Linked DNA regions of Oryzias latipes. The main gene of each other region encodes a partner of the protein of the gene in region 2 in a complex. Links are inferred from orthologs where the notes say so. Each region holds a gene or a part of one and is shown on either strand. Other genes may lie near its edges.

What was found. The genes of interacting proteins can lie anywhere in the genome.
Region 1: the proteins of cnot9 (region 2) and cnot1 are in contact, whole or in part, in a crystal structure (PDB 4CRU), measured with the Homo sapiens proteins. The link is inferred for Oryzias latipes from reciprocal best matches to the Homo sapiens genes CNOT9 and CNOT1. Residues at the interface, in NP_005435.1 of Homo sapiens: Arg19, Glu20, Tyr23, Ile26, Asn27, Ser30, Ser31, Pro32, Arg35, Pro54, Met55, Trp57, His58, Ser59, Phe60, Gly61, Ile63, Ala64, Ala65, Leu67, Gln68, Val71, Asn72, Tyr74, Pro75, Ser76, Ile77, Asn78, Pro79, Thr81; in NP_057368.3 of Homo sapiens: Ile1415, Ala1416, Thr1418, Thr1419, Gln1422, Ile1423, Lys1426, Asp1427, Phe1428, Met1444, Asn1447, Leu1448, Gly1451, Met1452, Met1454, Ile1455, Arg1458, Glu1459, Tyr1548, Gln1549, Arg1552, Met1553, Pro1554, Gln1556, Ile1557, Leu1559, Val1564, Lys1567, Gln1568, Leu1569.

What each region holds. Positions count from the first base shown.
Region 1 is NC_019864.2:25,875,624-25,879,875, reverse strand, and holds the end of cnot1 (CCR4-NOT transcription complex subunit 1), read left to right. Parts: intron 1-611; coding exon 612-785; intron 786-1,717; coding exon 1,718-1,867; intron 1,868-1,945; coding exon 1,946-2,126; intron 2,127-2,203; coding exon 2,204-2,336; intron 2,337-2,414; coding exon 2,415-2,549; intron 2,550-3,158; coding exon 3,159-3,237; downstream 3,238-4,252.
Region 2 is NC_019879.2:16,424,676-16,429,945, reverse strand, and holds the start of cnot9 (CCR4-NOT transcription complex subunit 9), read left to right. Parts: upstream 1-1,645; 5' UTR 1,646-2,005; coding exon 2,006-2,023; intron 2,024-2,495; coding exon 2,496-2,681; intron 2,682-2,825; coding exon 2,826-2,941; intron 2,942-3,368; coding exon 3,369-3,478; intron 3,479-3,605; coding exon 3,606-3,715; intron 3,716-3,907; coding exon 3,908-4,006; intron 4,007-5,270. Other genes in the region: usp37 (ubiquitin carboxyl-terminal hydrolase 37), read right to left, coding at 354-527. UniProt on the Homo sapiens protein: Component of the CCR4-NOT complex which is one of the major cellular mRNA deadenylases and is linked to various cellular processes including bulk mRNA degradation, miRNA-mediated repression, translational repression during translational initiation and general transcription regulation.

The sequences.
Region 1 (4,252 bases), on a different chromosome or scaffold from region 2:
GAAACTCTACCAGAGACTTTAACCTGTGCTGTACTTGATTTATATATATAAATGCACAGAGAAAAACAGCAACAAGATTGTTGGATTTGTCAGTGTAAAGGGTAAAGTTTTTTTCATTAGATTCAGTAACACAAAAACCTCGACTAAAGCTCTGAACTTTTTTTGGTTGGATGAATCAAATGTTCATGACTTGGACTGAAGCAGCATCATAAGACAACTGCTTGTCAGTCATGAACCTTGACTTCACTACAAGAATCGACCCTGATGAAGCTGAAGTAGATTTTGTTGTCGGGCTGTGAAAATAATGAGCTCAGTCTAGCAAAGGTTTAGCTGAAGACAGAATTCATTCAATCATCCAGAGATGTTTATAGGCGTACTGGTATCATCTGACTAGAGGGACGACATGAGACCCATGGTAGCAGATGAACTGTCCTAAAAAAATAAAAAAGGGTTGGACTCCAACAGTGAGCCCTGGGGTACACCTTTAAAGATGCAACAAGATAAAGTTAGCTTTGCTGCTGGGGGTCACAGGTATTGGGTTAAAGGTTTGCTGGCACTCTCTCAGGCATCTGTCTGATCTCTGATGTCGCGTCTTCTGTCCTGTGGTTCAGGGCACGCTGCGAGTCCTCCTTGTCCTGCTGCACGACTTCCCAGAATTCCTGTGTGATTACCATTACGGCTTCTGTGATGTCATCCCACCCAACTGCATCCAGCTCCGCAACCTCATCCTCAGTGCCTTCCCACGCAACATGAGGCTCCCTGACCCGTTCACCCCCAACCTGAAGGTAAGAGAGCCCCGACTGTGCCTGTCATTCAGAACCATCACTCCGATCTTACAGACCCATTCCGTCAACATGTCCTTGTGGCACTTTTCTCCTGATTGACGACGTGTACAAAGAAAATGAAGATTATAATTGCATTTATGAAGTTATGTTCACACCGCCCCCGGCAACACGTGTTCATTTTGAATGAAAAGTCTGGGTAAACCAGCGGTTTGGTCTTCCGTGTTCAAAACTCTCGCTTAGCTAACCAAGTTTCTACCACGGTTGTACGTATAAAATACGTGACCATTGAACGCACATTGCAAGTTAAACCAGTTGAACTTGGACCAATCAGGGACTCAGATTTGGTAGTAACGTAAGGATGGGGTCCTTTTTAATTCACAGAAGTGCCAACGGTATGAAAATTGATCATGGAAGAGAAATAGATAATTGGGGTTTGTGCCCGACCGGAATTTTATGACACAGAGTCGGAAAACCGATTCCACATTTCACACCAAGCCTGTTCCAACTGTAGGTGTCGGAGATACGGAAACATGAGTAAGAAGCCCCTCCCTGCTTGTCCAGTGTGAACACCATGGGCTAAAATGTGCATTGCAAATGTGCAGAAAGTACCATCTAGACGAGCGTCACATGGATCCGTAACTGAAGTGTTTCTTTATTTAAATTATTGTGAATCCCAATCAGACAAAAAAAGTCCCATGTGCGGGGCACAAGCTGTCTGCCCCACTCTGCTTCACAACAGCGAGGAAGTGAATTTCTAATTAACTACTGCTGCTCTACAGAAACTAAGTCCTAGAAAACAACAGTTTTTTTGATGTGGGCTAAATACTGCATAAGTATAATTAAAAAAAACACTGGGAATGCTTTGAAAATAGATCAAAAGACGATGGGATTGGCACTTCAACCTGTCTGACATGACGCCCATCCCCCCACAGGTGGACATGCTGAGTGAGATCAACATTGCTCCCCGAATCCTCACCAACTTCACGGGCGTGATGCCCTCTCAGTTTAAGAAGGATCTGGACTCGTACCTGAAGACGCGCTCTCCGGTTACCTTCCTCTCTGAGCTGCGCAGCAACCTGCAGGTAGAACCAGAACCAGAACCTTCTGCTACAAAAACTGTTTTCACAGCGGCTGAGGTTTCTGTGAACTCTGCCTGGCAGGTGTCAAACGAACCAGGAAACCGCTACAACATTCAGCTGATCAACGCCTTGGTGTTGTACGTGGGCACACAGGCCATCGCTCATATTCACAACAAGGGCAGCACCCCCTCAATGAGCACCATCACCCACTCTGCACACATGGACATCTTCCAGAACCTGGCTGTGGACCTGGACACTGAGGGTTTGTTTGGGTCTGGCTGACTTTTGGAGCATTCTCGTTGCCTCTCTCCTCACATCTCTGCTTTTGTGATTTTTCAGGGCGATACTTGTTTTTGAACGCCATCGCCAATCAGCTGCGCTACCCCAACAGCCACACCCATTATTTCAGCTGCACCATGCTGTACCTGTTCGCTGAGGCCAATACTGAGGCCATCCAGGAGCAGATCACCAGGTGGGGAGGTCCCGTCCTGTCCCGTCCTGATGTGTGAACACCGGATGTCCTGTTAATCGTAGGCTCTCTGGTTCTCAGGGTTCTGTTGGAGAGGCTGATCGTGAACAGGCCTCATCCGTGGGGGCTCCTTATCACCTTCATCGAGCTCATCAAGAACCCTGCCTTTAAGTTCTGGAGTCACGACTTTGTGCACTGTGCCCCCGAGATCGAGAAGTAAGTTCACCACCCCAGGTTCAGGTCCGGTTTGTGGGCGCTTGCGTTCACCTGTCCGTCTGCGTTCACCTGTCCGTCTGCGTTTACCTGTCCGTCTGCGCTAACCTGTCCGTCTGCGTTCACCTGTCTGTCTGCGTTCACCTGTCTGTCTGCGTTCACCTGTCCGTCTGCGTTTACCTGTCCGTCTGCGCTAACCTGTCCGTCTGCGTTCACCTGTCCGTCTGCGTTCACCTGTCCGTCTGCGATTACCTGTCCGTCTGCGCTAACCTGTCCGTCTGCGTTCACCTGTCCGTCTGCGTTCACCTGTTCGTCTGCGTTCACCTGTCCGTCTGCGTTTACCTGTCCGTCTGCGTTTACCTGTCCGTCTGCGTTTACCTGTCCGTCTGCGTTTACCTGTCCGTCTGCGTTCACCTGTCCGTCTGCGTTCACCTGTCCGTCTGCGTTCACTTGTCCGTCTGCGTTTACCTGTCCGTCTGCGTTCACCTGTCCGTCTACGTTTACCTGTCCGTCTGCGTTCACCTGTCCGTCTGCGAATACCTGTCCGTCTGCGTTCACCTGTCCGTCTGCGAATACCTGTCCGTCTGCGTTAACCTGTCCGTCTGCCCCCAGGCTGTTCCAGTCCGTCGCCCAGTGCTGCATGGGGCAGAAACAGGCCCAGCAGGTAATGGAGGGCACCAGTGCCAGCTAGCCTGCGCAGCCACCAGCTAGCCTGCGCAGCCACCAGCTCAAAGCACCCGGGAGAGAAATTCGTGGCCTTGACCCGCCCCGCCCCCCCAGCACACGGACCCCCCCCACTTCACCGTTGGCACTGGACAAAACCGGCTCCTGCAGTCGTGAAATGTGAATGGAAGGACTGCTGCTCACGGATTTAAAGAGATTTTTTTTTCTTCTTTTTTTTAAGCTTTTCCCGTTAAGCTTGAGTTGAGAGGACAGATGTGAGCTTATTTTGACCATTGATGTAAATATTGAAGAAGAAAAGGGAGAGCAGGGAAGTGGATGGATGGATTTGGCTGCACATGTCAAATGTGTCCTGGTCTGTACAGAACATTTACTACCAAAGTCCTCAGTTCCTTCCCTCCAACACAAGTCTTTTTTTTTTTCTTGTTTTGTTTTTTTGAGAGGTGAACGGTAGTTACCAAAAAAAGAAAAGAAAAAAAACAACTGTCTGATATAATTTTTTCTTTGGTTCCTGATATTTTCTAGAGTAAGACTGATATTAAGATCTCCTGTTTGTGGTGGGTGGGGGGGGCTTCTCATGGTTTTTCCAGTCGATGTGGCCTCTGGAGGTCTCTCCCTGGCAGTTGTAAAATTGTGCAAAGTGATGAAAACATCCTAACTTGACAATTTGTATAAAGATCCAAATGGAAGAACAATAATAGAAGGACCAATACAGGCCATTTTGTAACATTTTGAATGTTTTGTAAATGTATTGGTCCATGTGTTGTATTTTGTAGTTCTTTCTAGTTTGCCTTTTGTTCTTGCTACTTAATTGCAGTATGCATACATACAGGAAATAAAACATTTGAACTGCACATCACACGTGTGTTTTCTGAGCCCATCACACTTGCTCTTTTATAAATCAGCAACTTCAGTTAGTTACCTTATTTTCCTTAAACTCAACAGTTATTTTCTGTGAAACTTTTCTGAAGACGTACAATAAACTACAGCCGCACATAACTGGACAATATTTTAATTCGCAATAT
Region 2 (5,270 bases):
GACTTTCCTATAGTGAAACTACATTGTTTTAAAGATGTAAATGATGTGCTAAATTAGTTTTAGGTTTTGTATCAGATCTTTGCTGATGTGAAAATACACCCCTTAGTGGCAGTAAGTAAACAAGCAAGGTGTTCACCTGAATTTACGGAAATTTAACTTCCTCCAGCAACATATGATGTGCTTGAAATTTTTAATTGAGATAAAATAATAGGTGTAGTTCTATCCAAAATGGAATAAATTACACTAATTTAAAAAAATGTCTAAGTAGGGATGACAGAAACATCATGCCTAATGCTAAATATCTGTCACAACACCAACAAGCATACAGATAAAATACATTAAAGAGAAATTACCTGGAAAGTTTTGGCAGCGCCACCACAGCTGAACCTTAAACAGAGATTAACTCTGTTATCCTTTTCCAAAATTTCAAAGGTTCCCTCTTTCCACTTGGTGCCGCCCAGCTCAATGGTGTTAAAGCGAATCTTGACAGTGCTACCACTGGAGAGTTTGGGCACAAAAGTTGACATGGCTTGCTATCCTGATGGTCCACTTGTTAGGTCTGAATTTAAGATGTACAAAAGAAATAAACATGTCAAGAAATAGTCACACGGGTAGCCTATAATGGCAAAAACAACCTCACTTTTATGACTGCTATTGCTATTTAACCAAATAAACAGTTTAAATGAATATTTTTACCATTGCTAAATGCCACATAACAAGAAGTTAGTATTTTTGTAACTAGTTTGCTATATTGTTTTTTTTACAGAACATGCAGCACCGACGTGCCATTCTGAAGATTATAAGTGATTTAATTTGTAGCCAACAATAACATTTGCTAAAAACTTGAAATGTGTTATTCAAAATTATAATAATAAATAAATAAAAGATACAGAAACAAAACTAATATGAGATATGTAGATACGTAGCCAACATGGCAAATGCGGTTTGAAGTAAAGGAAAAAGGTAGGACTTCATAATCCAAAGTGACAAGTTAGCATAACAGTACAATATGAATTACTGCACCACAAAAATCACAAAATATAACAAACTGCATATCCTGAACGGTCATTGAATTTTAGTTTTAAACATGTTTGTGTAGAGCCTGCATTTAAACAACAAACACTGACAACTCCAATGTTGCAGAGGAGAAGCAACACATTTTGAGCTGCGTTGTGATGCTCGTGGCGCGGCCAGAACCATAGATTCAAACGATATAAACAAAAATATCAGTCTATCAACGAACTAGTCGAATAACATGAATCTAATATTAAATGTGAAGCATGCAGTGGCGTTTTTGTTTCTTTAACAGACGCTTAATATGATGGAAGAGGCCCACATTAGCAACACTGGTTCCTAAGCTAGCGGGAGCTAGCTAACACAGTAATTTGGTGATGAAAACAACCACATTCAGTGCCATCGTCATTTCATTACCTGTCTAGGATCACGGTGGTGGTTCCAAACCTATAGAATGTGGACTTGACTTCGCAGATCCTTCGAGAGCATAAAAAAGGTTTTGCCGGCATTCACCTGCTGTTCTGTATGTTTGCTGCAAGTAGAGCAGCACACTACGCCTCACAGCAACGGGCGATGATGGCGGGAATGGGAACATTTACAACGGAAATGATGAACGAGATTGCGCTCCGTTCTCCTCTCGCGATATCTGAGACGTTGTTTGTAGCGAAGTTGTCCCTGCCGAGGAAAAAAAATCAAACGCGAGATTGAAAAAAATGCCAGTGTAAACTTGGTTTATTGATACTATAACGACAATAATTTCTTTTTGTGCTTCTGTAGTTCTCAGTGTTGGGATTTCGATTGAAGTTATGTGAAGTTACGCATGTTGTGGATCCCATTTGTTAGAGCACCTAGCAACTAGCTAAGCTAGCAGTTCGTAAGCATATGTCCATGGTTCTTACGGTGAGATTTCAGGGTCGAGTATTGCGAAGAGGTGCAAACTGACGAACTTTCTATTAAAAGAGTATTTTGAGATCCCGAAAAGCTTTCCAAAATGTTGGCAACGGGAGCGGTGAGTATCAAACTATTGCATCGCTCTCACGGTGACGTTCCCTCCAATTTCGCCTAAGTACATCGAAAATCTTTTTTTTCCTCCCAAATTTCAGCTTTCTTTATTGAATTAATTTTAAAGCAGAACTTCTCTTTGCAGTTTTCAAAGAAAGACTGCATAATATTAATGAAAGCCTCGTACAAATGTAGTACAGTATGGTTTTGGTATACATGTATTGCAGTTGGCAAATCATGAGACGTTTTTGTAGTTAAATTGACAAATAATTTGATTTTGCCCCAATTTGTCATAGCAGACATTTAACAAATTTACACGCTGTCATTTCCTCTTCATGATTTGGGTTTGCAGAAGGGGGAAATTAAACGTAGGTTACATATATCTTAATTAGCGTAATGTTTTTGTTCTTGAGTGTTTCGTTTGTTTGCTTGTTTAAAGAATTGATTGCGAATGGATTGATATTTTCTTCCTATCAAAGGCTGTAACCAACGTCACAGCCCTGGCCCAAGTAGACCGTGAGAAGATTTACCAGTGGATCAATGAGTTGTCCAGTCCAGAGACTAGAGAGAATGCTTTGCTGGAGCTCAGCAAGAAGCGAGAATCCGTGCCAGACTTGGCCCCAATGCTCTGGCATTCATGTGGCACCATTGCTGCCCTGTTGCAGGTATTGGTCCACCTGTTCATTTGACACAGGTCATCCCATTGGGACTGTTTGTGCATCTGTGCCTCTTGTATGGTCTTTATTTTTGTAGTGGTGTTAAACAACTCCTTTTGTTAATTAAATTGTCCTCCTTTTTTTTTTTTTCAGGAAATAGTAAACATCTATCCGTCTATTAACCCACCAACCCTTACAGCCCACCAGTCAAATAGAGTGTGTAATGCCCTGGCACTTTTGCAGTGTGTTGCCTCACATCCAGAGACACGGTAACAAGATAGTTATTGTTACTGAAAAATCAGATTTTTATTTTTTATTTTTAGTAATTCTAATAATTAACTGCTCTTATAATGTTTTAAAGGGGTAACAGACCACAATCTGTTTTATTTATTTGTTTATTATTTGTTTAAAAAGTAACAGTCATCAGTCACTTTTAATACATACATCATACAGAATAGTGGATTTTTCCAGCATTTAGCCTTTGCAGATCTTCAGTTTAAAGCGGTTAAAAGATAATAAATATAGTATTTTCATTTTTATTAAGGCCATGGTCTAAATAAATTGTTTAATATTAAGGTTTTGTTATGTAATTCCTCAATTCACTATAATTTAAAAAAAAAAACGAACTTATTTCCATTTGCAAGGTTTAATGTGTTACATTGATTAATATGATTTTATTTGTTTTGTCCACACCAGGTCAGCATTTCTAGCTGCCCATATTCCTCTTTTCCTTTACCCTTTTCTGCACACTGTGAGTAAAACGCGTCCATTTGAGTACCTGCGACTTACCAGTCTAGGAGTCATAGGTAATTTCTCCTGCTGAGATCATGTTTTTGTTGATTTTACTTTTAATTTAAAAAGTCTTCTCTTTTAGGTATTGCTCTGATAATTCTGTTTATGTCAGATCTTGATTTGTTTGTGTGTTCTTGACAGGTGCATTGGTGAAAACCGATGAACAAGAAGTGATAAACTTCCTTCTTACTACGGAAATCATCCCACTCTGTCTTCGCATCATGGAATCTGGAAGTGAACTCTCCAAGACGGTAATTACCAATGAAATCAAAAGCAGTTTTTATCAAGCAGGAAGAAAAAAATGGATTTTGGAGTCAAACATTCAAAATATGTGTTAACAGATTTGGGTTTTGGTTTTCTAAAACCTACTCTCATGCATTTATCTATGGTATGAATTTAACTCATGTTTCTACCATTGACTATAATTCTTTTTTTTTTATCAGGTTGCTACTTTCATACTGCAAAAGATCCTGCTGGATGACACTGGGTTGGCTTACATATGTCAGACTTATGAACGTTTTTCCCATGTCGCCATGATTCTTGTAAGTATTTTAGGATTTTTGTGTTGTGCACCTATAGCATTGTTGTGATAAAGATGTACAGTCAAGACCATAAATATTTGGACAGAGACACGTTTTTTCTAACGTGTCTCTCAGATCAACTCAGATGCCATTGAAGTGCAGACTTTCAGCCTTGGTTGAACAAAAAGATTGTATAAAAATGTGAAAAACTAAAGCATTTTTTAAACACAATCCCTTCATTTCTTGGGCTCCTAAGTAATTGGACAAATTAAATAACTGAAAACAAAATGGTCATTACTAATATTTGGTGGAAAACCCTTTGTTGGCAATGACAGCCTGAGCTGACCTCTCTTGATGAGAGACTGGCGGTAATAATTGGGGAATCCCTTTTAAGTGGTGTGGTGACTGAGGCGCAGGGGGAACACCGACGCGCCAGATGCACCGGGTGACATACCCCCAAAAGCCCGCAGAGGTCCAACAGGACAGCTCGAGGATTTTTTTTTTTTTTTTTTTTTTTTTTTTTTTTTTTTTTTTTAGATTTCCAAAATTTTTCATCCAACCCACAAGAATGAGTTTCTTGCAACAGAAAAATATTTCCGCCAGTTCTTCTAAGAAAAAGAAATAATGCTTTTCTCTTGGTTGTATCACGTAGTCCCCTAACATTTAAAGAAATTATTTTTAAAGAGTTAAACTTAAAATCAGTCATAGCTCATAGAACACAGAACTTGAAAATAAGAACAAATAACAATTCTATACCAACTTACCTAGCTTTAGGGATAAGTTGGAAACAAAAACTTGTTGAAAGTTTGACATGCCTTCATAAGGTAAATTCTAAGCCAACAAATGACTGTTGCAAAGGGAATATTTCTTAATTACCGACCTTTACAGTTACATCAATCAGTTTTTTAGATTTTCAGCTGAAACTCTCTTTCCATCGATGATGGCATCCTGTCCTCTCCAGGTGGCTTTCTTTCCTTCTTTCCGAGCTTTTTCCACCAACGGCCAGATCTTTCCTCTGTTCTGCCTTTCACGGAAGGTTAAATCTTCGGCGATGCGAAGCTTCTTTTCCTTCATGACTGCAGCATCCTTTGACGCCTCCAGATTTTCTGCCTGAAGACTCGCAATGTGAATTGAATGATGACTGGTCGAGGCCTGCTTTCATCTTTACGCTGTCCCACGCGATGCACTGTGTCAATCAGAAAGCCAAATTTCTGCCTTTCTTCTGGAGCTATCTGGGCAAAAACCTCAAAAACTTTTCCTCTTGTTTCCTCCGTTGTTTCATTTG